2 linked regions of the Lytechinus pictus genome follow. The protein of the gene in region 1 purifies or fractionates together with the protein of each later gene. This does not show direct contact. Links are inferred from orthologs where the notes say so. Each region holds a gene or a part of one and is shown on either strand. Other genes may lie near its edges.

The links.
Region 2: the proteins of non-lysosomal glucosylceramidase-like (region 1) and 2-hydroxyacyl-CoA lyase 2-like purify together in Homo sapiens (co-immunoprecipitation; 3 studies listed by BioGRID and IntAct, counting the BioPlex papers as one, with this or other methods). This does not show direct contact. The link is inferred for Lytechinus pictus from reciprocal best matches to the Homo sapiens genes GBA2 and HACL2.

The regions. Positions count from the first base shown.
Region 1 is NC_087249.1:11,580,959-11,597,715, forward strand, and holds the start of non-lysosomal glucosylceramidase-like, read left to right. Parts: upstream 1-8,665; 5' UTR 8,666-9,059; intron 9,060-11,405; exon of another isoform or gene 11,406-11,475; intron 11,476-11,605; 5' UTR 11,606-11,839; coding exon 11,840-12,186; intron 12,187-13,095; coding exon 13,096-13,184; intron 13,185-15,534; coding exon 15,535-15,650; intron 15,651-16,757. UniProt on the Homo sapiens protein: Non-lysosomal glucosylceramidase that catalyzes the hydrolysis of glucosylceramides/GlcCers (such as beta-D-glucosyl-(1<->1')-N-acylsphing-4-enine) to free glucose and ceramides (such as N-acylsphing-4-enine).
Region 2 is NC_087250.1:658,122-675,306, reverse strand, and holds the start of 2-hydroxyacyl-CoA lyase 2-like, read left to right. Parts: upstream 1-9,681; coding exon 9,682-9,705; intron 9,706-10,738; coding exon 10,739-10,897; intron 10,898-12,655; coding exon 12,656-12,826; intron 12,827-14,457; coding exon 14,458-14,596; intron 14,597-17,185. Other genes in the region: uncharacterized protein LOC129282369, read right to left, coding at 1-1,787. UniProt on the Homo sapiens protein: Endoplasmic reticulum 2-OH acyl-CoA lyase involved in the cleavage (C1 removal) reaction in the fatty acid alpha-oxydation in a thiamine pyrophosphate (TPP)-dependent manner. Involved in the phytosphingosine degradation pathway.

The sequences.
Region 1 (16,757 bases):
ATGTCAATTTTCGTTGCGCACCTGCACCTTTTGCACGACCGTGCAGTGCACCAAAAAAGTTGGGTGTCATGTGACGCGTATTGGCCAATCGCGATGCTTGAAATAATACACCTATTTTATAATTTGTAATATCTGGTCACCCTGCCCCTGGCCTGGTCGGTGGTCTGGCAACTGCCTCGAGCTCGATGATGTCAGGATTCTGCTGTCTATTAAACTTTCATAGATAAAATTGAGGTGCGTGCAGGATTTCTTTTTTTTCTTTAAATTTGGGTGTTTTTTTGTACCCAACCCCCAACCTTGAAGGTATCCATGTAATGTTAGTAAATGCATCTGTCGTCAGGCTCCAGCCCGCGAAGCGGTCCGGAGCTCTCTGGGTTACGCCGCCGCCAGTGCCGGCTGGCTGAAGTGGGTGCGCCGCGCTCACATGCATCGCGGCGGTCAAATTTGCTCAGCCAAGCTCATCGCATGAACCACATTTGTCTGAGGCTAGAATCTGAAGTTTATATTTACCGAACGGTACTCAAACTTGTTAGATCTTGAATTCTCGCTGTCTCTCTGGTAAACCAGTTCGAAAAGTCCAGGCAGCAGGAAAAATTGAACAAGGTTTTAGCTGTTTATTCTTCTCAACAATCTGCTGACTCCGCTCTGCCACTCTGCTCTATGAATACTGGAAATACGTGTGTCCCACATAATGTAAGTTCGTGTAGGGTACTGGGTATAGATATAGATGGGCGTAATGATGGAGGGCCCCAAGTCTGCGCACCTAACAATTTAAGTTAAGATTTAACATGAATTTCTTCATATTTCACAAAATCTTTCAGTTAATAATGTTCCTTATATTATCAAGAGTAAGTGTACCAAATTTCTCATTAAAAAAATGAAAGAAAATATAGGATTTTCTTGAAAAAACCTCGGGCAGTCATTTTCAGATTGAAAAAAAAAATGGTACCCCATGTCTGCGCACTCATTCACTCTGCACACGATTCAGGGATTTTGATGAGAAAGGCTGCATTTTGAGGTCGTAACATTAAGTGCCCTAAATTCATTATTTTACCACCATTTTGAGTTGGATTTTTTTATCAATACCTGTCTATGCATTGCATGTGTAAAGTTCGTACTCGTTGCATATCTTCTTTTAGTTTTACTTTAATTTTTTTAATTTAATCGCGCAGATACGCACAGACTTGGGGGAACTTGCCATACAAAGGAATTTTAACAATAAAGATGATATTGATAATATAAATAACAATAGTTGCTACTTATAAAGCACACAAGTACACCTCTCAGTGTTAATAGCGCTTCAAGAAAGTAAAAATACTATTACTAGGGCCCAGACAGCTGGCAGCTGTCTGTTTCGAGGAATTTTTTCACATTTTTTTTCTCATTAAAAAAAGATGGATTTCAGCCGTCTTACTACTGGTACTTTGTAATGAATTACATTTTCTCAAGCTCAAAGTGACTTTTGCATTCAAATTTTATACTGTAAAACACATTTTCATTTATCCTTTACAATCATAACTGTTTGTGTGAAGGGTATGAATTGATAATGTGTTTTACAACTATAAATTTGGTACTGCAAAATCGTAAAATAGCCTTAATTAAAAACGGACATACAAAGCTTTTCGACATGCACTCATTGGAGTAAAATCGCATGATAAACGGCTCGCCATTTAGCGTCCCTTGTCTGGTTACGTTTCTATTATATATTGTTTTGCTCTAGCATTTTAATCATTCATGCGATTTTTATACTCCGATGAGTGCAGGTTGGAAAGCTTCAGTATGTCAGTTTTTAAGGCTATTTTACAACTATGAATTTAACCCAGGCAGATTGAAACCTGTCTTTAGCTTTGGTAAAAGGTCATTAGTGTGAATTGAGTTTCAAGTGTGTCATGTCTATTCTTCCAATCTTAAAAACTTGTAGTAGCCATCTGATCTCTTTTTAAACGCCAATTCTCTCTGTTTCGAGGAGTTTTGTTTTACATTTTTATGTATTTCTCCTCGTACACAGACGGCTCGCGATCGTGCAGCCGCCATTAGGGGCAAAATGTAAAAAATCACCCGACGGGGCTCATCGATTTTTGTCTTAATTATGTCATAAAAATATATTAAAAGAACTAGACCAAAATAAAGATTATTATTCCGTTTTGGCCTGAAATGCACCAAAACGGGAAAAAATCAACTTAAAAGGACAAAAAACAGTGACTTAGTTCGGCTGTCGCGCAACTCCACTTCCCTGGTTTATCCGAACTGAATACATAAACATATGGCCATCAAGTCCCTGTACAGATCGAGTTTAGAACTTCGGTCTTTGTAATTGTTGAGCGGAGCCAACAGAGTTCAGCGGAACAACCAATATAACGGACCGAAGCTTTTTGTCTAGCCCAGTCCATGCTTTGGAATAGGTTTTATATCACATGGAAAAACCACATAGATATTTTGTTTTTATTCGGCAACTGATCAAAATAAATTGTTCATGTAAAATCACACAATTTATAATAACTCGGGAGTCGACCGTTCAAAACGAGGGAGACACTGGGGTAGATTGGGGTCTCAATAGTAATCTTAATCTTAATAAAATGTGGAAACAGAAATTATACACTTACCACGATTATATGGATGAAGGTCTATCGTGACACACAAATCCTGACATTGAGGCACAGACTGGAACCTCAAAAAATGAAAAGTTCTGCTGCGATACCTCTCCTTCTTTCAAAATTCAAAACAAAATGGCCGATCGAGACCGAGGCTATATTTTGGTCGAATGGCCACTTGGGTTAATCATCACTTGATCTAATTTTCATTTCACCTAATGTGTTTTATTGCCACTTGGTACAATTGCATTTTTTATAGTCTAATACCAGTTTGTCTCATTATCGGTTAGTTTAATAATACGAGTTGGTCTAACACCAGTTCGTCTAATTATTGGATAATCTACTAATAAAGGTCTATAACGAGTTCGTCTAATTATCGGTTAGTCTAATAATAAGAGTTGGTCTAAACCAGTTTGTCTAATTATCGGTTTTAGTCTAATAATACGATTGGTCTACTACCAGTTCATCTAATTATCGGTTAGTCTAATAATACGAGTTGGTCTAAAGTTCTGCTTTTTCGTCTCATCCCACTAGTCTATTATTCATTTTGTCTATATTGCATTTTTGTTTTGATGTGCAGTTCAAGTCTAATTGCCAATGTGTCTAAATATCAATTTGTCTCATTTCCACTTGGGCTAATGGCCCGGGGGGCCACTTACATTGGCGAGTGGATACCATGCATGACCAAAAAAACACGTAAAAAGGATGTCTTTTTCAAGATAGGGCACGTTACGTACGTAACGTAATAAAGGGTGTCAAAAACACTAAAATAATGAAAAAAGGGTATCTATTTTCGCTAGGAAAGCTACGTGTTTAGGGTCAAATTTGCGAGGGTGTAAAAAATTAAGACTAAAATGTTTTATAAAGGATGTACTTTTTGCCCCAAGAGTCAACACTTCGTGTTTAGAGTATGATTTTGCGCGAGATGTGGGAGGTGCAGGGGCTGTACTAAACCCAATCAGGTAAAACCGACGACAGTGCACATAACAATAAAAATATCGTTGTACTTGTTTAGGGGGTCAATTCAGGGAATACTTGCCAAGAGTATTGTATACTTGTTAAGGGTAGGGTTTCACACACACCAATACTTGTTAAGGGGTGTATTTTCAGAACATGGAAAATACGTGTTTAGGGTGCTTTTCGAGACCCCATGGTCGTGCATGGTATCCACTCGTCAATGGAAGTGGCCCCCCGGGGCTAATGGCCTGTTGGGGGTACCCCCTTTCACCTATAGTTAGGCCTTCACCTACCTATAGTTTATTTGTGTGTTTCTTTCTCATGGTTGACCATGAACACTGAATGAATTCATTTTTGCATCGCATGTTGTCTGCTTTAGGCTTTATGTTATACATTTTCTGTAATGTTATTGTAAATTAGAAATTAGAGGGGATTGGGGAAGGAATAGAAATATACCTACCGGTACTCGTATAATTAATCAGAATGAGAAGGCAAGATGAATGACTACTAACAAAAATTACAAAATTATTCAAAACAAAATTAGATGATCTAATGGCTTTATAATTTTTAGAAACCCACAATACTACACAAACTATTTTTTTGTATGCCTACTTTTCTTCAAGTTCAAGTATCATCTGTAATGGTGCATAACAATAATCATATAAAGGCCTTAACACGTTTACCAGATACGTATCCACACGATACATTACATTATGAAATCTTCATTCTTTTCTTCATAGTAAGCCTGAGTCATATCGATTATTTTGAAAACCGGTGTTCGACAGCTTTAATTCGATCGAACATCGATGCATCAAAATTTGAAGGCGGAGAAAATCGAGTCTTTTTTTTGCTCCGGCCGGCCGTCGATGCATGCGCTATGCATGCACTACATGCACTGACGGTCTGCGCTGTCCGGGTGAGCGTTGCAAAAGCAAATGACAGAGCAAAGTTCGTTTGTATTTTCCATGATCACAAAACGCAAAAAAGGCCGGGGAGCAATGCAGAATTCTTCCCAAAATATCTTCAACAATGATATTTGCAGATGATAACATATAAGTTTAAAATGAAACAATATTAAGGACAATGTTCGATAATCAATCCTGACGTGATAATTATTTTTTTAGACAAGTGCACTCACTCAAGTCGATCGTCATGTGATGTCCGCCATTGAAAATTGAAACGAAATACAAACGTTTCACATCAAGCTCTAAATTCATATTAATGATTATCATTTGCAAATTATTGTTGAATATTACGATTAAATCATGTTCTATCGTCATGATATTAATATTGTTCATGAAAAGCAAGATTTACTTTACGTTGATCAAATCAATTTTCCGGCCATTTTCTGATTTGATTAAAGCACAGTACTGCGCATGCAGGATGAATGGTGACTTCCATTCATAAATTCATCGTGCATAAATTATCTCGGCACGAGCAGACGAGTAAGACTCGAACTATGATCGAAATAAACTTTAAATTAATGGTGAATAGGCATCATAATTACACAATTGGTTTCATTTTGGGGGCAATATAAATGAAGTAAGTAGTAGTCAAGTTGGATTTTACTGTTTATTTTGATGTCTGATTGTGTGAACCAAATGAATCGGCCGGCCGACGTATTTTTTGTCTCGCCTGCATAGCAGAGCGAGACTATAGGCGCCGCTTTTCCGACGGCGGCGGCGGCGTCAACATCAAATCTTAACCTAAGGTTAAGTTTTTGAAATGACATCATAACTTAGAAAGTATATGGACCTAGTTCATGAAACTTGGACATAGGTTAATCAAGTATTACTGAACATCCTGCCTGAGTTTCAGGTCACATGACTAAGGTCAAAGGTCATTTAGGGTCAATGAACTTAGACCATGTTGGGAGAATTATTTTCAAAATCTTAACCGAAGGTTAAGTTTTTGAAATGACATCATAACTTAGAAGTATATGGACCTAGTTCATGAAACTTAGGCATAAGGTTAATCAAGTATTAGTGAAGATCCTGCTCGAGTTTCAGGTCACATGACCAAGGTCAAAGGTCATTTAGGGTCAATGAACTTTGGTCAAGTTGGGGGTATTTGTTGAATTACTATCATAACTTTGAAAATTTATGGATCTAGTTCATGAAACTTGGACATAAGGTTAATCAAGTATTAGTGAACATCCTTCCTGAGTTTCAGGTCACATGACCAAGGTCAAAGGTCATTTAGGGTCAATGAACGTTGGCCAAGTTGGGGGTATTTGTTGAATTACCTTCATAACTTTGAAAATTTATGGATCTAGTTCATGAAACTTGGACATTAGGTTAATCAAGTACCACTGAATATCCTGTGCGAGTTTCAGGTCACATTACCATGGTCAATGGTCATTTAAGGTCAATGAACTTTGGCCGTGTTGGGGGTATTTGTTAAATTACCATCCTAACTCTGAAGGTGTATGGATCTAGTTCATAAAACTTGATCATAAGAGTAATCGAGTATCACTGAACATCCTGTACGAGTTTCAGGTCAGATGACCATGGTCAAAGGTCATTTAAGGTCAATAATAATAATAATAATAGGCATTTATATAGCGCCATCTATCTAGAAATATTCTATTCCGAGGCGCACAAGAAAAGAAAGAAAGAAAGTTTGGATGAGTGTCAAAGTGCCAATAACTAATACTGTTAGAAAAGATAAGACTTCACTTTAGATTTGAAGGTCTCCAGTGATGGTATCATTCTTAAATATATAGGCAAATTATTCCAGAGAGAAGGTGCTGAGGCAGAGAAAGTTTGCGCACCATATGCAACTTTGGCCATGTTGGGGTAATTGTTGAATTGCCATCATAACTTTGAAAGTTTATGGATAGAGGGAATGAAATGTGGACATGGGTGTAATTGACAAGTCTTAAGTCACCGTTCAAATGTCATCTATGGTCAATGAATGTGGTATTATGTCATTATATGAATGGTGTTTTTGTAAATTATTATTTTATAATAGTTTTCAAAGTTAGCACTGCTGCTATATTTAATCGCGTAATGCAGGCGAGACTGCCAGAGGCGTTCCACTTTTTTTTTGTTTGTTCGATGCACCGATTTTGCAAAATCTGCACCGGCGTTCAATGACGTCGATCGAACATCGATTTTAAAATCGATTTGACTCAGGCTTAAGAAGTAAGAATCATGTAATTCTGATGAAACCCCTGCCATTCCGCCGTTATAAGCTGCTATCTCCCCAACATATTGTTCACACAAAAATAGAATCTATAGCACTTGATGATGATGATGATGATAAGGACGGTGATTGCTGTGATAATAATATTCCTATTCCTTCTACTACTACTGCTGCTGCTGCTGCTGCTGCTGCTGCTGCTGCTGCTGCTGCTACTACTACTAGTAGTACTACTACTACTACTACTACTAATACTGCTACTACTACTACTTTTACTAAGTACTACTACTACTACTACTACTATTACTACTACTACTATTACTACTACTACTACTAGTACTACTACTACTACTACTAATACTGCTACTACTTCTACTTTTACTACTACTCCTACTACTACTACTACTACTACTACTACTACTACTACTACTACAACTACTACTACTAGATCTACTGCTGTAGTACTTTAGTAGAACAATACTGTGTCTAGGCTTCATATTAATAACAATTACTACTACTAATAATGATAATATATGTCTTTATTCTTCTGATGAGTATTGTTATAATTTTCAGCATCACAGATATATATATCAGTATTACATATTATGAAAATCATACTTCATTATGATAAAGCATTGAGCAACTATCTTGCCATCAGTAGGACTGCATAGAGAGGTTTTGTGTGTATACCACCACCCTACCCCTCCTGATGGCAGGCATTGACTGCTGCATGTTATATTCAAGCAAGCCTCTAAAATAACAAAAGAAAAAGGGTGCTTTGTAGACAAGAATGAAGGTAGAGTCCTTTAAAATGCTAAAGAGGTCCTGACCAATGAAACCATGCTCTCCATAAATATAATTTGATGAGGTCAGGCAAACGTCTGAGATCCCTTCCCCGGCAGAACCTCACACTTCATAAATTCTTTCGTTCCAGTTTCAATCCGTGCATTTAATAGCCTTACTTGAAATTTAATTACCCCCCCCTTCCTGCCTTTATCTTAATTTCTCTTATCTTTGCTTGTTGATTTGTATAATGTTTACTATATGTATCGTGTAATCTTTTGTGTGTATCATGTGATATTCTAAATTATTTTGTGCGAACAAATTGAATTTCCATTTGTACACGATCGCAATTGGACAATAAAAATATCTGAATCTGAATTCATTTATCCATGACCATATATGAGACTAAATGGACATTAAACCAAACAGTCATTCAACCATATGTCAATAAGACTAAATGATAAGTAGCCTACACTGTAACTGGTTATTAGACCAAATGGCAATTAGACTATAAAGTGATAAGAACATCATGGTTCGGTTTCATAAAGACTTGTTATGATCATGCACAATTTCTATAACAAATTTACCATCAGCCAATCAGATTGGAGAATTTCAGTAGCTTGAAACTGTTATTGCAAATTTGTTATTATTTATGAAACGGATCCCATATGATATTAGCCAAATTGGGTGTAGCCCAAATGAATACTAGACCAAGTGGCATGTAGACAAAGTCAATGTTACACTATCTGGAAATTAGACGAAGTGGAAATTAGCCGAAGTGGAATTTAGACCAAGTGGTGTTAGACCAACTGGGAATTAGATCAAATAATAGCCCATCTGGTCATTAGACGAATTAGGTTTTGGACTAAGTTGAAATTAGACGAAATAGACAACAGAAAAATTGGTTGTACATGTAGACGTAATGGCTTTTGAACATGTGACGTTGGACGAACGAGAATTTATTAGACCAAGTGGTAGTAAAACAACTGATAATTCATCAAATGGATGTATGTACTGTAGAGGGCTAGAGGCAATATACAGAAAAGCAAAAATATATATATTGCAGAAAGATTGAGAGATTGTTTAAGAGAGGAAAAGATGCAACCATGAAATGATTATCACTTCCTGCTGGGTAATATCTAATCTTCATGTTGCCCTTTTTTATGCTTGATCCTCAAGTCGCAAACAACCTTTCCACAGCTGTAAGCTTTGCCTTGTATCATCTCCAGTCATTTCCTCGGCTAAAGCCGTGTAACATCCTTTTCTGTTTTAATGAGGCTCCACAATAGCCTCATTATCGTTGAGATTAGATATCAAATCTTCTTCCATCAGTCAGTTTGGTGGATCCTCCCTTGTACTAGTTACACATTAACTATCTTAGCTTTTGTCATAGTGCACAAGCTGGTATCAACTCATAGAGCCGGCTGATGAGCGAGCGAGCAAGTGGATGAGTCGAGGATCTTTCCCAGTGTCTGTGTTGATCTTTGCTCATGTGTTGTATGTGTTCATTTAGTTGTGTTGCAGCTACTTCTTCTGTACAAGGAATTTATCATTCAAGGACTTTACAAGCAAGTTTGCTTTCATGTATGTACATGTACAGTATGTGGGATTATCATTTTCCTTTTGTTGTCTTTCACACTGCAAAGGTGCAAGAGAAAAACATTTGGTGTGTGCTTAAGTGCTTAACAAAGCTATTTGATATAGTACATGGAAATAATCGTGGACTTCAGACATGAATGTTTGTTTGCCATTTTTAAATGCTTTTTAGGAGGATTACTCATTCATGAATGGTAATACAGTCGCATGTAGAATTGAAAAAAACCCACATAATTTTTTTTGGGGGGCAAATTATGCTGTGAAAGACTAATTAAAATGTCTAGAGGTATGATCATTTTCTTTTTACAGAACAATGGATGAATGAATGATATTTCCATTATCTGTGGTTCTTGTAACAAGTGTGAATATTTTTTTCTTGTTTATTTTAAACATCTAATATGCTTTTCACACTGCACTTTTTGTCCTAAATTGGTGGGGCTAAGGGGGGGTCTTAGCCCCACCAATTTCCCGGGGTTAAGCTTAGCCCACTTCGTTTTCACACTACGTTTTAGCAAAGTGGGCTAGCACGGTAAATAGTACGGTACTATCTGGCCCTGCAAAAAAGCAGGTTTAGCCGGCATATTGCGGTGCTAGCACCACAATTGCGGTGCTAAGAGATGCAGTGTGAATCGAAACCGGGCTAAGGAAAAGTGGGGCTAAGCATTAGCCAATCACAGAAGTCGAAATTGCACGTTAATCGCGCTCTGTATGGTAAAATCATCAATATTAATGAGCTGTGTGATTGCCCGGGGTTAAGGTGTTAACCCCGGCTAAGCAAATAGTATGGGGTTAAGAAAGACAGTGTGAATCGAAAAAAAGATAGTATGGGGTTAAGGATAGTCCGGGGTTAAGGATAGTATGGGGTTAAGGAAATGCAGTGTGAAAAGCATATTAGCATTGAATGTGCTGAAGATTTCAGGATGTAATCTTTGTCAGAATCCATTTTATATGTAAAGGAAATGCTAAAACCGCTATTTTTGTCTCACCTGCATAGCAGAGTGAGACTATAGGCGCCGCTTTTCCGACGGCGACGGCGGCGGCGGCGGCGGCGGCGACGGCGGCGACGGCGGCGTCAACACCAAATCTTAACCTGAGGTTAAGTTTTTGAAATGACAGCATAACTTAGAAAGTATATGGACCTAGTTCATGAAACTTGGCCATAAGGTTAATCAAGTATTACTGAACATCCTGCCTGAGTTTCATGTCACATGACCAAGGTCAAAGGTCATTTAGGGTCAATGAACTTAGACCATGTTGGGGGAATCAACATCAAAATCTTAACCTAAGGTTAAGTTTTTGAAATGTCATCATAACTTAGAAAATATATGGACCTAGTTCATGAAACTTATACATAAGGTTAATCAAGTATCACTGAACATCCTGCATGAGTTTCACATCACATGACCAAGGTCAAAGGTCATTTAGGGTCAATGAACTTTGGCCGAATTGGGGGTATCTGTTGAATTACCATCATAACTTTGAAAGTTTATGGATCTGATTCATGAAACTTGGACATAATAGTAATCAAGTATTACTGAACATCCTGTGCAAGTTTCAGGTCACATGATCAAGGTCAAAGGTCATTTAGGGTCAATGAACTTTGGCCAAATTTGGGTATTTGTTGAATTACAGCCATAAATTTGAAAGTGTGTTGGTCTAGTTCATAAAACTTGGACATAATAGTAATCAAGTATCACTGAACATCCTGTGCGAGTTTCAGGTCACATGATCAAGGTCAAAGGTCATGTAAGGTCAAAGAACTTTGGCCACGTTGGGGGTATTTGTTGAATTGCCATCATATCTCTATAAGTGTATTGGTCTAGTTCATAAAACGTGGAAATAAGAGTAACCAAGTATCACTGAACATCTTGTGCGAGTTATAGTAGTTTTCAAAATCAGCACTGCTGCTATATTGAATCGCGTGATGCAGGTGAGACGGCCAGAGGCATTCCACTTGTTAGTAATAATAAACATTATCGAGAGAAGGCACTTGACTCAAATTTAATTTGTAATGGCAAGGATAATTAAATTCTAATGGATAAAAATGCATTCAATTACTGGTAGGCATGTATGATATTGTAATGTTAGAATATACTCAAGTGTAGCCCACATTGACCCCTTTTCAAAGCTAAAGGCGGGTTTTAAAGAGTGTCTGTATTGCAATACATTGGTTTTTAATAAACATTGGCCTGAGCACATCAGAGGTCCGAAGAATCCAGTACGAACTTGCTGTTTAGTACATGTATGTCCATTTGACAGATTTTTCTCTCAGTTCATTTTACATAAACTTTTACAAAGTTATGTAAGCAGCTTGTTTTGAATTGATCATGTGATACACATGCATGTACATGTAGCTGGGATCCTATGGTGCATGACAATATATACAATGCACAGATTGAGATAGGTATGCATTGTAATATTGACAATTTGACTTTGTTGTAGTGTATTAAAGCATTAATGTTATTGTATATTAATCACCAATTACTGTCTCTATCTCTCTCTTGCTTCTCTCCTTTTATCTCTTAATATTACAGGTATGCAGAGGTTCAGCCATTGTAGTTTATACACACTGTATGAAAGAAACAGGAAGTGGTATACTGATGGTCGTCATTAGCAGAACTGTGATGTTTTTTAGAGAATTTTCCATGCATTGACTCATGTTATTAAATGTGCAGTGTTGTGTTTTTGGTGTGAATTTATGGAGGAAGGCAGTCGATAAAGGAAGATCGATTCCCTTTCCTGGTGCTTAGCGTGAACACCTTGGCAGAATGGCCGCTGCCATTGATGATGTCATAATGGACAAGGAGTACTCGGAACCAGATGAGGACCAAAATGAGGACCAAAATGAAGACCAAAATGGAGACTATGAAAGTGAGGACCAAGACCTGAATGGCTTAGACAGCGAAATAGACCTGATGAACGTTGGAAGCAACAATTCGGGACAAAGCGACAGTTTACAATCAAGGAATACCCTAAAAAATGATAACCTGGCTCAGTTTGGTATCCCACAATGCTCTTGGACGGTACATCTCAATCATAAATACAAAGAAAAATGGCGGCCATTGATGAGGGTCAGAGCACACCAGATGAAGAGCTTTGTTCTTCCGTCGGTCAGGTAATCAAGGATTTAATTTTTTTTTAAAACTCTTTAATTCACTCATTTTTAGTCTTAAAGTCAATCCAAAATACCAAGAGTTTCAACCCTTTCACTATAAGACTTGAGTCAATCAAAGTATGAAGGATTCAATCTTTTCACCCCTGAATTTAAAAAATAATGAAAATGATAAATCAGATGAAAAAAATCAGTACATGAAAATGAAAATCTTGAAAATTGTCCATGTTTGTTTTGAGAGTATTATCCCCTGCAAAAAAAGGAGCAAATTAGTGAGCTGATGATGAATTAGCTCATTTTTTTTCTAAAATGGGAAGTTCACCTTGATGATATGTTGGTTTTAATAAAAAATATTGGTGCGGGTTTGATGACATGATCCATCAAAAATATTAAGAAAGTTATGAACGTTCAAAAGTAAAAGTTTTTAAAGCTAGCAGCTCCCCCATCTATATCGTGTATTTTGATTTCCTGTTGTTTTAAATGGAACTTGATGAATAAAAATGTTTCTAATAGAAGGGGGTATGAATGATATGTTTAAGGATACATTATGTATATTTGAAAAGTGATATGAATTGATTTTACCTCTTTAATATTCGCTTCCAAAGGACTTCGATATTACATGTATAACCCTGGCGGCCGTAATTACTTACATCGCACACCCTTTTTCAAAGAATTGATTGCTACCAGGTACCCATATACGTCACCTGGGTCGAGTGCATCATAATGTGGATAAATTTCTTGCTGAAAGAAACTACACCATGGATGAGATTTGAACCCAAGACCCTCTGTTTCAAAGTTCGGATACTAATCCTCTGGGCCACAACGGTCCACCTGCAATGATTGATTATAGTTGAACGGCATTTCCTCATCCCTTTTACAATAATGGACGTTGATTCTGTTTTGATACTTCAGATATGCCCAACTACACCTTAAAATGCGGCGAGCAGGAAAAAGACCATTCATTGATGTGTTACATCCAAAGAAATTTAAACCGGTATATGGTAAGTGGGGTCTGGGGGTGGGGGTCAAGGTTGGTGCTATGTCAGTCATTGATAGGGTTCTCCCAATTTAGAAGAAAAGAATAATTAGTCAAGTTTGGCGCTATGTCAGTCATTGATAGGGTCTCCTAATGTTGAAGAAAAGAATAAGGAGTCAAGTTTGGCGCTATATCAGTCATTGATAGGGGTCTCCCAATGTAGAAGAAAAGAATAAGGATTCAAGTTTGGTGCTATGTAAGTCATTGATAGGGGCCTCCTAAGATAGAAGAAAAGAATAAGGATTCAAGTTTGGTGCTATGTCAGTCAATGATAGGGGTCTCCTAATGTAGAAAAAAAGAATAAGGAGTCAAGTTTGGCACTATGTCAGTCATTGAAAGGGGTCTCCCAACGTAGAAGAAAAGAATAAGGATTCAAGTTTGGTGCTATGACAGTCATCGATAGGAGCCTCCTTATGTAGAAGAAAAGAATAAGGGGTCAAGTTTGGCACTATGTCAGTCATTGATAGGGGTCTCCCAACGTAGAAGAAAGGAATAAGGATTCAAGTTTGGTGCTATGACAGTCATTGATAGGAGCCTCCTTATGTAGAAGAAAAGAATAAGGGGTCAAGTTTGGTGCTATGTCAGTCATTGATATGAGCCTCCTTATGTAGAAGAAAAGAATAAGGGGTCAAGTTTGGTGCTATGTCAGTCATTGATAGGGGCCTCTTCATTGCTCTGTCAGTGCATAAATTAAAATTGCTAGCGTTAATTAAGGCTCATTGTCCAGAATTTATATTAAACAATACCTAAACCTGTTCAATGTGTGTAAGTTGAGATATGTGTGTGTCACTAATTTTTTTTCTTTGTTATAAAAAAACTGAATTTGTTTTTCTTATATGATCATGTTTATCCCAACCCCACACTGCTAATTACTTATGTTTAAGAATACAATTTATGTTCAGAGGGGCTTTCTACCAAACCCACGTCTGCTTTTTAATAAGTTGCCCATTTTAATTTTCATATTTTCAAAATTATAATCGGTAAATTGTTAAATTATCAATATGTGTATTTAAACAACGATTCATTTATTTCCTGTTTCTTTTTCTTATTAATGATTGAAATATTTCTTATGACATTTTTCCAGTTTTCTAAGTTCACATATGTTTGTTGTTATGTTCAATATTTGAAAATGGAAAAAAAAAAATTGAAAACTTTAATGTTTGACCCTTTTTATACATATTTGCTTGGAGTTTCTTGCTCAGACATGTACAATATATGCTTTAAGCGCATTATAGACAACCAGATTATTATTATTTTTCTCATTATTTGTACAGAATTTGGTGGATCCACAATATGGTGAGCCATCTATCGGTTGCAGCGAACAGACCAAATTTCTAACTGTGGGGGTTACATCATGCGCAGTCGCAGGCAGCGCACAGTGCTAGTGCTTCAAAAATGAAAACCATTTGGCAAGAATTCACCAAAAAAGGTCTAAATTTCACAGAGAAATATGCAGGCAAATTTTTCTCCTACCTCCTGGACCCTAGTAAATAGCATATCCGGTCGAGCCGCGTCGGCCAGTGCTGAATAATCGCATGCTTTCACTTTAGTACTAGAATGCGTAACAGATGTCGACTTTTTCCCATGATGCATTGCTAATTTTAGCCTGTCAGCTGCAACCAATAGATGGCGCACCGTATTGTGAATCCACCGAATTGAGGAACAATCTTTGGTTCATGTGTGATTTTGTTCTGCCTCTTATTTTATTTTTCCTATTTGTCCTTGTATTTTCTGTAAACATGTATATTTTCTTTTTTGTGCCTATTGGCATATTATTCTGCATATACCCAGCTTACAAATATCTCAATCTCAACCTCAGTTTCTTTTGTATTTTCTGTAATGTATAATGGCAACCGCATACCCTAAGATTGGTCTGTGACCCGATGTTGGAATAAAATGTAGTAAAGCTTGATACGAATGTTGAGACAGACATCTTACTGTATAAAGTTCTAAATCATCTTGCGAATATGTTTATAAAATTAGAATAAAAGTGAATTGGATATCTACCGGTAGTCATAATAACGTCATTGCAATCGTACGATTGGCTACCATTTTGAAACCAATTTGGCCTCTTCTCCAAAATAAAAGCTTGCAAAGTCAAATTAATATTTTCATAGTCAATTTGAATCTCAAATAAAAATGTAATTTCATTCACATTTTAAGAAAATAAGCGAAATGCGATTTATTCCAAAATCGGAACCTGGGGGGGGGGGGGGCTTAAGTCGTACATTCTCTTTTGTGTCTGTTTGCGTATTAATCTGCATTTCTTTTTTTTAATAATTATATTTCAATCTTGCTGCGTTTCTGTTGTGCAGGTGTACCGGTAGGTGGTATCGGGTGCGGTGCAATAGATCGGGGCTGGAAAGGAGACTTCTGTCGGTGGTCTCTCTCTCCAGGTCGATACACTTATGATAATGTGGAGTTAAATCAGGTACATATGCAGACCTTATTATACTAGACCCGTCATTCCAATATGGGCAATATTATTGATATCAGGGTCACCTACACGTAGTGGGGGGGATGACACAACATTTGCTCCGGTCTTAATATCTCAGAGGACATTGGGTTAGAGTTAGGATTGTAATATAGAGTTTGTGGTTCAGAATATTGCAAAGGCAAGGATTGGGGTTTAGATAAACTTTTGAGGTTTGGTTTTATGTTTGGCCTTAAGGTGCAGAATTTCCATCGGAGCAAATGTCGCCCGAGCAAATGTCGTGGAACCTTTACGCTGGGTGTAGGGCTGGAAATGCCCAAAAGAGCTCTGGAAAACTAAAAGAGAAGAGCCTTGAAATTTCCCTTAGGGTCCAATGTAACAAATTTTAGCTGGTGAGCTAAAAAAGTGGCCTCAGAAAGTTATTTAGCATTATGGCCTACATTCTTAAATTGCATGTACAGTAAACATGTATTTTGACTATGTTTCATTTGGGTTTGAAAAGTCTGCATTTGGCTGTATTTCACATACTATGCAGTACATGTATATGTTCAGAAATTTTCATGGTGATAATACCACTGTGATTCAATTTAATTGTTCTGAGATATGGATGAGGTAATGTGGTCATAATACTGTTAATGATTAATCATTCCTTTGTAAACCCATAGTGCTACAACTTAGTGAATCATTAGATTTTATTAATGGCTGATAAGAATGCTTTGAACTTGATGGTGTGTGCGCATATGGTAGGTATTTAGATAACAAAGTCCACTCCTCCTCCCCATTGCTCTTCTTATACTTCTCTAATTCTGTTTCTTAATCTTCTTTTTCTCTTTATTATTTGTTTTCCTCTTGATTATTCATTTTCCTCTTGTTCTTCTTCCCTTTTCTTCTTACCTCCTTCTCCCGCTCCTCCTCTTCCCCTCCTCCTCCTCCTTCCCTTCCCCTTCTTCTTTATCTTGTTCTTTGTCTTCTTCTCCTTCTCCTCCTCCCCCTTCTATTTCTCCTCCTCTTCCTTTTTCTTCATCTTCATCATCTTCTTTCTCTTCTTCTTCTTCCTCTCCACCTCCTCTTTTTCTCTCCTTCTTCTTCTTCTTCTCCTTCTTC
Region 2 (17,185 bases), on another chromosome or scaffold:
CCCATAGACTCTGTCGTCCAAAAATCCTGCAGATCAATTGGATTCCTGATTACTTGTACATTGAGTACGTTTCCACCCTTCTGGCCTGGTTTACCACCAAACACCACCCAGCCTAGTGGCGTTCGCTTAGCAACTAGATGTCCTCTCTCTCTTGGCTTTCCATTCCCAAGATGAAGTTTTGCATAGTCGGCACCGATGAGTAGATCAATTGGTCCAGAACCTCTGTAGAGTTTGTCAAGATGGAAAATCCTTGCTAACTCTCTAACATTAACACCTGTGATGTTATCGTTGATGACATCTAGTCCGATAGCTTGTACCACAATGACTTTATGGGTATCCAAAGACTCAAGCTTAACCCGATATAACTTGGAATCAGCAGTCTCTCTGTCTCCGCCAACTTTTGTGATCACGACTTGGATTGGATCACCCTCTAGATTAAGCGTCTTTGCAATCTCCGTCCTGATGAGTGTCACTTGAGACCCAGAGTCCAACAAACAGTTACCAATGACCGCTCCCTTCGTACCTCGAACCTTGACTGACAGTATTGGTAAGAGTGTATCTCTTGATCCGATACTTGCCACGTCCACTGTAGACTCCCTTTTTTCTATTGTTGAATGCAGCAAAGGATGATGATATGAGGGGCATTGGTCGCACTTCCTTCTTCGTCTACATGTGGTCATGCGGTGTTCCTTGCTGGCCCGCTTCAGACAGCTAAAGCACGCTCTGTTCGCCTTCATCAAGTCGTACCTTTCTGGTTGGCTCATTCTGATAATCATTTGACACTTATCAATCCAGTGATCATTGGATTTACAGTGCCAACACTTAAAGTCCTGCTTACGAACCACATCATTGCCTTGGTCTTGGTTCATAACTTGGTGTATGGATGCACCTTGCTTATTCTTGTTATCTGATCTTCCTTCTCGAATGGATGCAGTCGCCCGAATGCGAGTCTGTAGTTCCTCGCTCATCCAGTCCATCAAGCCCTTTAACGTGGGTGACCTCTGCAGACGTAACCAAATCTTACGATCTTCATTTGTAAGCTTCCGTTCTATCAACGCCAACATATGAGAATTGTTCATATCCTCTTCCTTATTTATCTGTTTCAGAGTGTTGTAACTCCTCCTAACTAATCCGGCAAACTCGATGAACCTTGCATCCTCACCGTCCTTCAAGTTCTTGAACTTTGTGATATCAGATATGATAGCATCGGCTAGATTCCTCGGATCACCGTACATGATATCAAGTTGCTCCCATGCTGCTTGATAGTCGGTTCCTATCCCTTGAATTATTTCCAGTGGTTTCCCTTGCAGGCTAGTACGCATAATTGTTATGCAATCCCTTTCGGCATATCTGGTTTCAATGAGATGCTTGAAGTCGGACTTAAAAGTTTGATATTCTCTAATATCTCCTGAAAACCTGGGTAACTTAGGTTTTTCAACCTGCACCTTACATTGAGTTGCATTTCTTACTCCTCCAGAGCTGATATTTCCAATGCTATTGTTTTCGAGGTAGTCACAAACCTTTGCTTTCACTTGCATGAAGTTATTCATGCAATCTTCTATCCATGCCTGCTCTGATTCATATGCCGAATCATCAAGAAGCTCACAGTATACGTCATGCTTCTCTTCCAGATCTTTGTAGCATTTCTGACATTCCTGAAAACCCTCATCAACCTCTTTGCTGGATCTTTCACTGTCCATCAGGGCCTGAACTTGATTCAAAGTCCTTGTGAACTTCCCCTTTGCCGACCTCCGCTTCACCTTCAGTTCGCCTGCTCTTTCAGCCATCTTGTCCTTCTTGTACTATTCCCGGAGTATGCGAAGAAATTGAATTTATGGATAGTACAGAACAAGCCGAGATGTGAACCATGGAATTGAGATATTTCTACAGTGTTGATTTGTAGATTTTATTCAATCTGAAATGATAAAACAAAACAGCATATTTTGAGTCATCTCATCCTGAATTAAAACATGCACTTAAATATGAATATCTTGTGTAACCTGGTCTTGATGCATTTACATTTGTCCATCAAAGTATTACTAAATATTCTGACCAAGATTGACTTTCATTGTTTATAGTAAAAGCATGGATTAAGATTAATATAAACCAACTGAAAGTCTGAATGTAGCAGACAATATTATTTTCTATCAAAATCACTCCTTATATAAAAGGCATAAAAAATCAATGCCCAATTTTGGCAGGGCGCCAACAACGCATAGTTGAGTCCAACTATGCCGAAACAAATCCCTAATAGCTTTTAAAACTGGTTTTCTCTAAATTAAATGCACATGCAATTATTCATGAACCAAAACTAGTTTTGCCAGAAACTTATTTCTACCTCTTCAAAATACACTTCATGAATTCACCAAATGTTCATGTATCAGACTCATGAACATGTTTTTGTATCCTTTTGTATAGATCTATATTTATGCACTTTCACCTCACAATGAGCAACTTGTCTTAAGCATAGATATGCTTTAAAATACAATATAATCTTTGTAATATGAAAATAACCCACATATTTTGCCTCTTCATTCTCACTAAAAAAAGAAGTCTTGTATTTTCATGCTTTTGCTTAGATTATGAATCCAAACTGAACTAAACTTCCTGGAAATGTTTATATTCACATTTTCCAACATAACCAGTTGCTTCCAAAAAACTAAACAAAGCTTTCAACTGAAGCTTTTCATTAATTAAATATTCAGATTTTAGACATCTTAAAACTTTTACTTTATAACACAAATTTCCGTCATGTGCATTAAAGACAATTGTGATTAGATTTCACACGAGCCTTTTGAGCCAAAAAATTGTCTTCTAACTTCAACCTCTTTTCACGTGTACATTTATAATGAATTTTTACTTGTTTTTCGTCAATAACTCTCTTTGAGTTTCTTGTCATAATTATATAATCAACACGTTATCTCCCCTATTATCTGATTAATCTACGAAACTTACTTCTATGACGGGACACAAATGAACATTGCTGAAATTCGGACATAAAAGGTGACGAACTGCAGCACCTCCGTTAACTCATGAACGTGAAAAATCTGATGCTGAAGATAGCGCACTGCTGTAAATTGACGTGTTGACAAATTTGATATGGTATCTTTGAGATAGATCATTAAAGCAAACGTTATAATAATTATATGGCGTTTAATCCAAAACAAATCACTTTTTTCCAAAGTTTAATCTTCTCTATAATTTAGCCTTTCTGAAGGATTAAATTTTCTCATATATTCAGCTTCTTACCAAAACAATTTTCCAGGGCTCTTTTTCCACTTTCCAGGGCTACAATTTCTGGAGCTATTTCGCGGCTTTTTTGCGTTTGTGTGTGTGTGTCTGTGTGTGTGTGTGTATATATATACACGGTAGCTAGCATATACGGTGTAATCATACGCGTGTACTGTACATGCGATCGCGACGAAGCTTCGAAGCAGCGCGGCGCGAGCTAGCGAGAAGTACGTACCGGTACCATCTCGAATTCATAGGCACATGTACCACATGCACTATTCACGCCCGTAAACAGAGATTCACAGGTAAGTTCTCTTAGCTGACACGATCCTATGATGGACTCGCGTGCGCTGAAATGAGCAATGTTATTGTGCCACTGTATCTTGTATTTGCTTGTGTGACTCTGCGGGCAGCTCCGCGGTGATTTACGTACATATATACGTGATGTTCGCAACTGCAGTCGGGCAATGAGTTTGGGATTTTGTAGCACAATTGGTGTGCGCGTAGGAAACAGCTCAAGATTGTAATATAAGCGGTCACACGCAAATGCAAACAAGTACACATTTAAATGCAATATAACGTATAATGTATAATTTAAATGCAATCACGTACGTATGCATGAAATGCTACATAAATATACAGTGTTGACGGGGGCGATTATGAGTTTTGCAGTCGCCCTCGTGTGAATGTTTTTAGCCCTTTTCCGGGGCTCTTTTTGGACTTTCCGGGGCAAATTCGCCCGCCGCCCCCGTGTAATTTTTTGGTTGGAGATATCTATATTTGATGAAATGTCCACCCTTTGAAATTTCAGAGTTTATTGCTCTGCGCGGGGAAGAATATCTTCCTCCCGGCATATACACTTCTTCTCCTCTGTTTGGCGAGTTAAAGATATATGCACTGTCGCTAAATTGTTTGTATTCAAATCTGATCTTTCCAAGGGAAGTATTCAATATATCTTTGAGAATACCCTTTTCTCGGGACCCTTTTCATGGCAAAAAAATTGATAAAACGGTTTAGCTTCCGCGCTTCGCGCGGGGTTATGATTTTAATTTCCTCCATTGTATTCCTTTTTGTGCGTTCACAATCACTTTTGAAAACAAGGTTCAAAATCACAATATAGTCAATTGAATTGGAGCTGATATAGGTACTAGAGTCAAGAGAGACGGCTCCTTTTCATTTTAATTTATGAAACACCAAAAGCTTCGCGCTTCGCACGGGAGGGGGAAAGTCCCCCTCCCTGCACCCACCCCCTAGGGAGCGCGCTTTGCGCTCTGTATTAAAGTGTTGGCACGCTTTGCGTGCATTTACCGCCCCCTCCAAAATGAAATCCTGGCTACGCGGTTGGAGAAAGAGTTAATTTTTTCATGGATTATGATGGAAAATTTGCTTGCTAATATTTTATATTAACTAAATAATCGAAATTCCCTAAAATTTTCAGGGCTAATCCAAAATGATAATATCATTTGATCCTGAAAAAAATCATATCAAACAATTAAAGCTTTAATTTCTCATTAACTTTCATTTTCTTTGTCTCCAAAATATGCCCTCGAACCTTTTCCAGACATATCTCTACCCCGCATTGAATATTCATGAAACTCGCTGTGCATATTCATGAATATGTACGGGTTTGCATGCTAAGTTTTTGCTGTGCCGAAGACTTATTTTTCGAGAAATCACTTTATGAAAAGGGGTTCTGACACAAAATAACAAGGAGTTATGAAACCAGCGAACCCAATTCCCGCACGCCAGAGGTGGGCCCTATAACACAAGACGTTAGAATTGATCGTATTGCTAATCATGTAAAATAACCGGTGCAATTAGCTATGGGACTCAGCCCTGCATGCAATCAATTATGGTATAGTACGTCCGGGTCTAAGTGTTTACATGCATTTGAACCGTACTAACCGAGCTGAATGAAAGTACAAGGTAGGCATAGAAATGTCCTTTTTTTTTCTCTTTAACGTATGATTTTGCTTAAAGGGATGGTCCGGGCTGAAAATGTTTATAGCTTAATAAATGGAGTAGAATTCACTGAGCAAAATGCCGAAAATTTCATCAGAATCGGATAACAAATTTATAACAAAGTTATTGACTATTAACGTTTAGCAATATTTTGTGAAAACAGTCATGAATATTCATTAGGTGGGCTGATGATGTCACATCTCCACTTGTTCTTTTGTATTTTATTATATATGAAATTAGGATTATTCAAATTATTTCCTCCAAGAACTAGAAAAATTGGATTGACATCTGATTTATTGCATTAGATATTTATTGCTGCAACTTATTTTATTATAAGGGAGACATGTTATTCACACAAGTATGAAATAATGAAAAAATTATGATTTTATGTGAAAACAGACAGTGGGGATGTGTGACATCATTAGCCCACCTAATGAATATATTCATGACGACTGTTTTCACAAAATATTGCTAAACTTTATACTTCAATAACTTTATTATTTGTTATCCGATTTTGATGAAATTTTCGGCATTTTGCTCAGTGAATTTTACTCTATGTATAAAGATATAAATATAATTGCCCGAAGGTCAGTAAGGTGTTACGGTCCACTTGCAGAGATAGATTCAAGGAATCAAATCTTACTGGGTACCCATTCACCTCACCTAGGTCGAGTGCAGCACAGTGTGGATGAATTTCTTGCTGAAGGAAAACACGCCATGGCTAGGATTCGAACCCACAACCCTCTGTTTGAAAGGCGAGAGTCAGAACCACTAGATCATGACGTGCCCACTAGCTTTATTACAGTATAAAGTGAAAGCAACATATTTGTAAAATAAATTATTTAAAATATTTAAAGATTATTAAGTTTACATCTGGCTCTACATGTGTGTGCATGCAAATTATTCACAGCGATTAGTGGCCGAGATCTGAGGGGGGGGGGGGGTGGCAAATTGATAATCTTGAAAATGTGATTACATGTGCAACCATCCTGATTGACATTTGCTGCCTGAGACTGTTCAAACCAATTTTTTTCAAGCAAAATACATAAGTGGCAAGAAAACGAATAAATTTGCATTTTTCTGTCTGTTCTGCTTAAAACTGGTTGTAATTTGTTAATTTTACCTTTCGATATGGTTATACCTGTAGGGTCTGTAAAATTCAGGAAGTCACAGGACATGGTGATTTTATTTGATGTCATTGTGAACTTCCCCTTTAATCAATCTGTGATCACTTTAGACTTTGAACTGTTTAATTATCCCAGGTCAGATTGTTTTGTTTCATACATGTACCTTGTATACATGTCAAATGCTTTGTTTTTAAATAAAACAAGACCTGAAGTTTCTGAGACAAATTTTTTCCGACTCTGGCAGCCATTTTTTATTTCAAAATGGCTGCCAAAGTATGGATACAAATTAGTGTTGAAAATAGTATATTGATACATATTTTGTTTTGACAGATTTTTAAAGAACAAGTTTGATCATGTTGTTTTCGCCTGTGATTTAGCTTGCTATTATAACACTTTTTAAAATCCCACAGAAAGAAACACCAGTAATTCATTCATCTGATAAAAAAACATTGATGAAGTATGTGATATGGTATGTAATGTCAGTTACCGAAAACATGAACTTGTTTTTCTAATTTCCTGGAAAAGAGGATATACATGTATTATATGAAACTTGGTAGATTTCCTCTCTAGGTAACACCCCTCCCTTCTACACCAAAATTAAAGATTACTAATTAACAATGAAGCCATAGGGTACCATTAAATATATGTAATGTCAGTTACCATGATAAAACGTTGGTTACCAATATTGAAATGCAAATATGTGGTCAATTTTATGGTGAAGAAATATTGTATACTTGTTATTTAAGTCTTTTACTTTAAAAGTCACACCAGAAGAGCTTGTTATTGACTTTTAAAAGGTATACAGGTGTAGTTCACAAGGAATAGCCTACTATATGAAATTATGAAGGAAGTTGCATTCCCATCGTGCAAAAAAAATTACTATGAAATTGTTTTGTACATATGCACTTACCAAGTACCTAATTGTTTGTATCAGACAATTTTTTGTTTGGTTTTCGGGGGGGGGGGGGGGGTGGTAGAGGGTACTTTTCCCAACCTATTGCCTAAATCTGCAACATTCTTTAAGCTTAACATTGTGATGAAGGGGATTTCCAGGGTCCCTTTTTGTCTCACCTGCATAGCAGAGTGAGACTATAGGCGCCGCTTTTCCGACGGCGACGGCGGCGGCGGCATCAACACCAAATCTTAACCTGAGGTTAAGTTTTTGAAATGACAGCATAACTTAGAAAGTATATGGACCTAGTTCATGAAACTTGGCCATAAGGTTAATCAAGTATTACTGAACATCCTGCCTGAGTTTCATGTCACATGACCAAGGTCAAAGGTCATTTAGGGTCAATGAACTTAGACCATGTTGGGGGAATCAACATCAAAATCTTAACCTAAGGTTAAGTTTTTGAAATGTCATCATAACTTAGAAAATGTATGGACCTAGTTCATGGAACTTATACATAAGGTTAATCAAGTATCACTGAACATCCTGCATGAGTTTCACATCACATGACCAAGGTCAAAGGTCATTTAGGGTCAATGAACTTTGGCCGAATTGGGGGTATCTGTTGAATTACCATCATAACTTTGAAAGTTTATGGATCTGATTCATGAAACTTGGACATAATAGTAATCAAGTATTACTAAACATCCTGTGCAAGTTTCAGGTCACATGATCAAGGTCAAAGGTCATTTAGGGTCAATGAACTTTGGCCAAATTGGGGTATTTGTTGAATTACAGCCATAAATTTGAAAGTGTGTTGGTCTAGTTCATAAAACTTGGACATAATAGTAATCAAGTATCACTGAACATCCTGTGCGAGTTTCAGGTCACATGATCAAGGTCAAAGGTCATGTAAGGTCAAAGAACTTTGGCCACGTTGGGGGTATTTGTTGAATCGCCATCATATCTCTATAAGTGTATTGGTCTAGTTCATAAAACGTGGAAATAAGAGTAACCAAGTATCACTGAACATCTTGTGCGAGTTATAGTAGTTTTCAAAATCAGCACTGCTGCTATATTGAATCGTGTAATGCAGGTGAGACGGCCAGAGGCATTCCACTTGTTTACTTTCTAGGATTCTTTTGAGCATTGCCTCGCTAAAAGTAATTTCCTGGTTTTTATACAGGTCTGTTAGTAGTGTGATACTATTTTGTTTTGGGTTTACAAGTATAGATGAAAAGTGAAATTTGACAGTTGTGATCGATGTTGCATGGATCTACTAAAACTGTTTTTTTTTTCTAATTTACAAATAGTTCAGTTTCAGTTTAGAAGCTGGAATTTATTTTTTGTTGACAGCTTAAAAAAGAAATTAGCAAAGAAAATGATTAAACAAATTATGATGAGAATTGAAATCCGACAGATATGAACAAGCATTGCTTGCACTGACCAGAATAGAAATCAATAAAACTACATGGCTGCATTAGATTCGGGGGAGGGGTTCGTGTAGCCTAGGGGATGAGACCCTTATTCATTTTGCCTTTTTTGAGGGGAGGGGGAGGTTGGAGAAGGAAAAGGTTTAAAAAGTCAATATAAAACTGATGAATATATTATGGGTGTATAGTCAGAAAAATCCATGTGTACAGTCAATGCAATATTAAATTACTATAGGAAAACATGTAGCTGCTATGACCCCCCCCCCCCCGAGTAAGTAAAACATACATTTCTTATCTTTTGATAATTAAAAATGTGAAGTATTATGAAACTTTTATGATTTTAAAAAGCCTTACATATAAGTACCTACTAAGAAAATTATGCCTTTGAAAATCATATAGCACTGGTAAATGTTAATGTGTTTTGTCAGTTACCTACAAGTAATGATAAAAATGTTCAAACCAAAGAAAGGAATTAAGAAAAAGAAAGAGTTTTTTCATTGAAATGTTCCTAGAAACTTGGGTATACTTCCACATCAAGCTCACTTTCATGTGAAGCCCTGCACAGAAGATACAATGCAATGATTCCACACATTTGACTTCCATGTGTTATCTCTATGGCAAATTCAGTGTAATGTCAGTCACTGTAATGTCAGTTACCAGCATGGTTGTGGAAAAATTATCATAGCCCCCAAAAGACAAAAACGAATTGTTTAATATTTTGACACATCTTAACCTAGTAACAGAGGTATATTTAGCCTACATATTCAAATTATCTACTCAGGGACATGAGATGCCTCAATTTTAATGAACACCCTGAAATTGCATGTCCTTTTGCGTAATGTCAGTTACCGACACATTTTTGCTTGCTGATGCGTAAAAAAATGTGGTTACATAGGAAAACTTAGTATCAGAGTATACAGCAAGGTTCACTTTATTAACTCTATCAAAAGCAAACTCCCATCATTTGTTGTTTTTAGAGATACACACCATGAAAGGTGTGAAAACATTGTGCCGTGTAATGTCAGTTACCGTGAAAATGCCCAAATGGTATTACAACATGGTACATGTAGTAGTATGAATATTGTAAACTTTTAGCAATGAAGTGTGGATATCACATTTTTTTTTGCATGAATTAAGAATTCTAAGGGGCACGGACATTTCTTAAATGAAAGGGAAGGTGGTGCTCACTTTAGGTACTTCAGTCCAAGGCCATTAAAAAAGGGCATCAATTAAAAGGGCATCAATTAAAAGGGCATCAATTAAAAGGGCATTAATTAAAAGGGCACTTATTTTGGCCTAAATGTAAGTCTACAAATATTTGGATAGGCATCAAGGCTATTTTGAGGGCAATGGCGGCCATAACCTTGTATGGCCTTCAAAGATTACTTTGCGTGCTTGTAAATGGTGGCCTTCATGTGTAGTGTAAGTGTTCAAATATTCAAGTGTTCAAGTATAAGTGTAATTATTCAAATATTTGCAAAAATGCTTTGGGCAAAGGACACTATTAAATATTTTTTAAATTTTTGTTTATCCTCATTAGATTGATTTTTAAACTGTTCAAGTTTGATGAGGATAGAAGGACCAAAAACGAAGATTTACTTTAAATACATTTCTCTTGCAATATAACCTAAAACCCTGTAAGGACCGGGGGGCATGATGGTCCCCCGTGCTTTATTTCGGAAGTGCGAAAGATAATGCCGCGAAATGTTTCTTTGAAGTCTCGTGCAATTTTTAAGACCACATTCAAGCTGTACGGGTATAGCATCGCGACGTCATGTGACTTATTAAAGAGACAGCATGCCGAAAATGGCTCATTTGTGTGCAAAGTCTATTAAAGGGAGATGAAATGAAAAGGGTGACTATATTTCATTCTAATTGGTCTGCTTAATTAATTTAGGGTTTACTTTAGTTGTTAAAGGGTCTGTAATAATTTCCATTCGTTTGGAAAAAAATCAGGGTAAGATAAAATTTGGATTCTAGAAAAATAAAAGTATATTTCTTTTGGCATTTGGCTTTTTAGATGAGTGTGAGTAAGATAGTAGTTGCTTGACTCAAGGTAGTGATTTCATGTATTTTGACATTTTAACTTGCAGGTGGATAAGACAAGCAAGCGTACAGGAGGAGAGTTAGTGGCTGAGACACTGAAGGCTCATGGAGTCAAGTTTCTTTTCACGCTTTGTGGTGGTCACATATCGCCTGTCAATGTTTCTGCTGAGAAACTTGGTATAAGGGTTATAGACACTAGACATGAGGTAAGTCTATTTATGATAATAAAACTTCTTCAAATTGTTCATTCTTATTATTTGTAACAACAAAAAGAGGACAACAAAAATATGTATGAAAAATAATTAATAAGCCTCCTTACAATTAAATATTTTAGACCATCAGCTCAAAACCTAGCAGTCACAAATCCTGAATGACATTTTTATCAACAGTGGGTCTCAACACAAGATTACCATAATACTCAAGTAATTCACAGAAAATGATATGCACTGTATTTATAAGCTAAAAAACCCCCAACAAAAAAGGAAACCCGTTTTTGTCTCACCTGCATAGCAGAGTGAGACTATAGGCGCCGCTTTTCCGACGGCGACGGCGGCGGCGTCAACACCAAATCTTAACGTAAGGTTAAGTTTTTTAAATGACAGCATAACTTAGAAAGTATATGGACCTAGTTCATGAAACTTGGAGATAAGGTTAATCAAGTATCACTGAACATCCTGCATGAGTTTCACGTCACATGACCAAAGTCAAAGGTCATTTAGGGTCAATGAACTTTGGCCAATTTGGGGTTATCTGTTGAATTACCATCATAACTTTGAAAGTTAATGGAACTGATTCATGAAACTTAAACATAATAGTAATCAAGTATAAGTGAACATCCTGTGCAAGTTTCAGGTCACATGATCAAGGTCAAAGGTCATTTAGGGTCAATGAACTTTGGCCAAATTGGGGGTATTTGTTGAATTACCATCATAACTTTGAAAGTATGTTGGTCTAGTTCATAAAACTTGGACATAAGAGTAATCAAGTATCACTGAACATCCTGTGCGCATTTTAGGTCACATGACAAAGGTCAATGAACTTTGGCCATAATGGGGGTATCTGTTGAATTACCATCATAACTTTGAAAGTTTATGGCTCTGACTCGTGAAACTTGGACATAAGAGTAATCAAGTATCACTGAACATCCGAACATCCTGTGCGAGTTTCAGGTCACATGATCAAGGTCAAAGGTCATGTAAGGTCAATGAACTTTGGCCACGTTGGGGATATTTGTTGAATTACCATCATATCTATGTAAGTGTATTGGTCTAGTTCATAAAACTTGGAAATAAGAGTAACCAAGTATCACTGAACATCTTGTGCGAGTTATAGTAGTTTTCAAAGTCAGCACTGCTGCTATATTGAATCGCGTGATGCAGGTGAGACCGCCAGAGGCATTCCACTTGTTAGAGATAGATTTCACAATTATTAAATACATGTATGCTTTTACTATAAATTTTATACTCTTGGCAAGATTGGAATCTCATCTCTAATTTGAAAACAACAGCTTAGCAAATTGTTCAAGCATGGCTGATATAAACAATAAATATTGAGACATATCAGAAGCGATTTGTGTAGAAACTCATGTGTGAATTTGAATCCACTCTCTTTTCAGGGATTAGTTAGAGAATCTTAACAAAGAATACAAAAGAAATGCTAATGAGCCAATCGTTGAATAATCACGATCGTCGTATCACAAACCAATCTTGTCAAATTTTTGTGCGCAACCTGGTTTTGACGTTAAAATTTCAAACTCATCTTGCTCATTAATGCGTGAAGTGTTCGTCTCAAATTAGGTATCAAAATAAAGAGAAATGATTGAATTATAAGATTAAATGTAAATGATATCATAATTCATTTGCCTGTGAAGAATAAAAACATGGGAATCTCAGTTTCCTTTTTTCTGGGACGCACTGTATATGGATAACTTTGTAGTGCTCTTCTAATACTACCTGTATGATTAGGCGACGGCAGTGTTTGCAGCTGATGCTGTAGCTAGACTATCTGGGGTAATTGGAGCTGCTATTGTTACGGCAGGACCAGGTCTTACTAATACTATCACAGCAGTCAAGAATGCACAGATGGCAGAATCCCCTCTTCTCTTAATGGGAGGAGCCGCAGGTACATTATTAAAGGTGAGTTATGGGTGAATTCATTCTTCTTAGGAGGGGTGAATGCTATCAAAAAAATAAATAAAGCTAGTGATAAATACGTCAAGAAATTATTCCAAAATTTGATGCTTGCACAAACCCTTTATTATTATATTTATTAACATTTATTAACAAGGTGGATATGTGCGCAATATAAATACCCTATATTATTATTATTATTATTATTTATTAATGAAGAAATATGTTACTTTTTCCAAAGTGGGTAATGTGAAAGATCATTTGCTCAGGGAGAGATGTATTCTTAATGATGTCAAGAGAAAATGATTTAACTGTACATAGCCATATGACATTGCATGAGACATCAAAATAATAAAACTATGATATTCACTGATTCTTTTATTTGATGGATGTGCTAAATCTTCATAGAACTTACTTGGCATCATGGCCAACTTCTTCTTTTGAATTAATGATAAAGAGCTCATTGATAAACCTACTGATCTAAAAAGAGATTTCAATATTATTTGCTCAAATTGGTTTTAGGTGATATCTTGACATTAGAAGCATTGAATACTGAGTATGGTTCAAAGGTTCTCATACAATCTGTGTTCTGTTTGTGTGAACAGATAGAGAATAGATTAAATACAATTGAGGATTTGATCTTTGAACTTTCAGTGTTGACCAAGACCAAGTGATCAATGTATCACCAGACTTATCTTGCAGTTCATGGTTTTCTGATGAATATAGTAGGAGTTATTATTTTGATTTTTTTTTTTTTTTTTTTGGGGGGGGTAATCTTTTTTTTTTTGGGGGGGTAATATGGATATTATACTGTATTACGCTTTCAGTACCAACACTAGCCTGTAATATAGGCCAGCAAATGCCCGTGTCCTTGTTTGTGCCATCATTACAGTCTTGAATAGCAGTTTAACATAACATTGAAATCATAGATTAAACTTAATCAAATATTTAAAGAACATTTTATTATTTGTATAAATTTGTTTTTGATCTTCAAATCAGCATCAATTTGGATGTTATACCCTCTTTCACAGTTTGAAAAAAAGTGTTATGAACAATAGCAAGACTTAATGAAATTAAAATTGGACTATTTTGCATGAGTTCGAGATCAATTGCTCTTAATCATTAAAATTAAAACATAATGATAAATTTATCACTTTTGGCTACATGTACATATTAAAAGATCTGTGCATAAAATCACGTTTTTGTGCTAGTTTGGGTCTGACATGCACTTGCAAAGTGTTTCGAAAATTGGAACCACGTATTCCCACGTTCGCGAATTTGGTCTTAAAACTTGCATGAGACTTGAAGGAAAGAGGTCTTGAAATATTGCAGTGTGAACTTTTCATGTTTCACATTTATCACAAAAATATGTTCAAGGAGTTGTTATGGTTTCATGAAGAAGCATTAATGCTCTCTTAATAATCAGGTATTAAAGTTACTTGGCTATGAGATGCCATTCATTCATGTATACATGACATCACAATTTACAAGTAAGGCTATACATTTCTATTTCAACATTGAATAGATTTTATGATAGTTTGGTGAGGTATTTTTATTTGAAGTATAGTTTATTTGCTCCTATGACATGCTGTATATTGTACTAATAATTTCTGTATACGCTATTTTTTCATTCATAGGGTCGTGGAGCACTCCAAGATATTGACCAAATGGCATTGTTCAAACCGCTATGCAAGATATGTATATCAATATCACAGATTAGAGATATCATACCAGCTATGAGAAGAGCAATACAGATAGCACAGTCTGGTACACCAGGTATGTTGGCACTCTGGTCTAAAGAATTGTCACAAACATCTTCATTTTATCAGCTCATGTGTCACTCAGATACTGGGAATAATAATTGAATTGGTTTTTTTTTTTGCTCTTGAAACATGAAAGAGCACTTTGAATGTAGGAAAAATTTGGCTTCCTGTGACCTACATGTAAGTTAAACTAGACTTCAGAATACAGGCCTTAACAGCTGTAGTCATATCCTTCAACTCCTCTATGTGATTTTGACGGAGCTGCAGCTAATATCTCTGCTATGAATGAATACTGTTATGCTAATGAAATTGATTGGTTTGATCCAGAGAGACTTCAATCAGCCGCTGCAGAGATCTCATCTTACTTTTAATAGTCAGGATTTTCTTATCTAAGATTTTATTGCATTTTTTAAAATAAAAAATATCACATAATCTTAGATCTTAGTCTTGCTGCATTAGACCTACATGTATGTATTGCCTCTGTAGGGGAAGGCGGGGTAAGTTGAGCTACTACCCCCAGGCCAATTTGAATTCAGACATTTTGATGGTGACATATTGATGACCCATTGCATAACATCTAACCCCACCACATTGTCTCTTCAACATTGAAACAGAAAATAGTTTTTCAGAGGGAAAAATATAAATTTCAGCCCAAAAAGTATGAATGTATCAAACAGATAAGTGCATTTTACCCACATTATTCATCTTTAAATATAATAAGGTAATGAGATGACAATATTGTTAGTCCAGGTACAGTCTTTTACATGATGAGTGAATATAAAGTAATATGTGGATGTGAAAATATCACATGAAGTTTTGACTGACGAGGGTAGGTTGAGCTAGCTAACATGGGGCAAATTGAGCCATGGTAATTCATATGGTAATAAAAACAAACACACCTTAAAAAGCAATCATATGCAGGCAGAAAGGAGAAAGTTCACAAGACAGAACTTGTTTTAGTATTTGTAGAGAACTGCCAAGTAAAAATACTTTTTAAATAAAAGTTATGCTGGTTTTTGCCCCATAGCCTTTTTACATATTTTTTTTTGTGGCTCAACTTACCCCATGGGTAGGGCAAGTTGAGCCATTTTACTTTTTTTTTCAAAGTGACGGTGCCTTTCAGTGTGGGGATAGAAAGTTACATATTGGTAAAAAAAATGTTTCCAAATAATGAAATTTTACGGCAAGGTACTTGTACAAGACTATTAGTCATATCGGTCCTAACATGCAAAAACACAAAATAATGGCTCAACTTACCCCGCCTTCCCCTACCATATTTAGTGTTTTAGCTAATGTTGTAAATCGGATCAAAAATCAGATCGAAAATCGGATCGGCAGTTAAGCTTCTAAAATCGAAATCGAATCGAAAATCGAATCGGCGATGTTTAAAAACAAAGGAATACATCAAAATATTGTTCGCGGTCGCGCGCATCTTCCTGACAAAGTCACAAAGACGAATGCATTGGAATGGAAGTCGCCAACATGCGCGATCGTTTGGAACATGTTTTAAAGCCAGGGGTTTTGAGGTGTTATTGCTTTAAAATAAACCGAGTGATTTTTATTAGAAAGATAAACGAAAGACGCATCTTCCGAGCGAAGGCGCAAAGGAAAATAAAATGAAAATATTTCTCATAGATCACAGGTTAATGAACGATCGGCAGGACATCTTTTAGAAGTATTTTTAGGTGCTAGCGATTTAGAATTATTGGAATGATCTCTTACGACGCATCATCTTAAAGTCGCAAGTGCAATTAAAATGAAGTAGAAGACGCAAGCACGCACGATGATTTGAAATATGTTATTAAAATGTTTTGGGTAGCTAGCGTTTTCAAATCAATTTGAAGTTTACGGCGGGGTCCGCTATCACCACGAGGTTGAAGAGAAGATGTCTATCATCATAAAGGGGGTAAGAGAGTAGCGCAGTGAGCTCCGTCGGTAATACGACCTTTCAAAGTTCACGGCGGCATCCGCTATCACCACGAGGTTGAAAATAAAATGTATATCATCATAAACGATGTAAGAGAGTAACGCAATAAGCTCCGTCAATAGTACAGTCTTTAAAAGTTTATGGCGGGGTCCGCTATCACCACGAGGTTGAAAATAAAATGTATATCATCATAAACGATGTAAGAGAGTAACGCAATAAGCTCCGTCAATAGTACAGTCTTTAAAAGTTTATGGCGGGGTCCGCTATCACCACGAGGTTGAAGAGAAGATTTATATCATTATAAAGGGGGTAAGAGAGTAGCGCAGTGAGCTCCGTCGGTAATACGACCTTTCAAAGTTCACGGTGGCATCCGCTATCACCACGAGGTTGAAAATAAGATGTATATCATCATAAACGATGTAAGAGAGTAACGCAGTGAGCTCCGTCGGTAATACGACCTTTCAAAGTTCACGGCGGCATCCGCTATCACCACGAGGTTGAAAATAAAATGTATATCATCATAAACGATGTAAGAGAGTAACGCAATAAGCTCCGTCAATAGTACAGTCTTTAAAAGTTTATGGCGGGGTCCGCTATCACCACGAGGTTGAAGAGAAGATTTATATCATTATAAACGGGGTTAGAGAGTAGCGCAGTGAGCTCCGTCGGTAATAC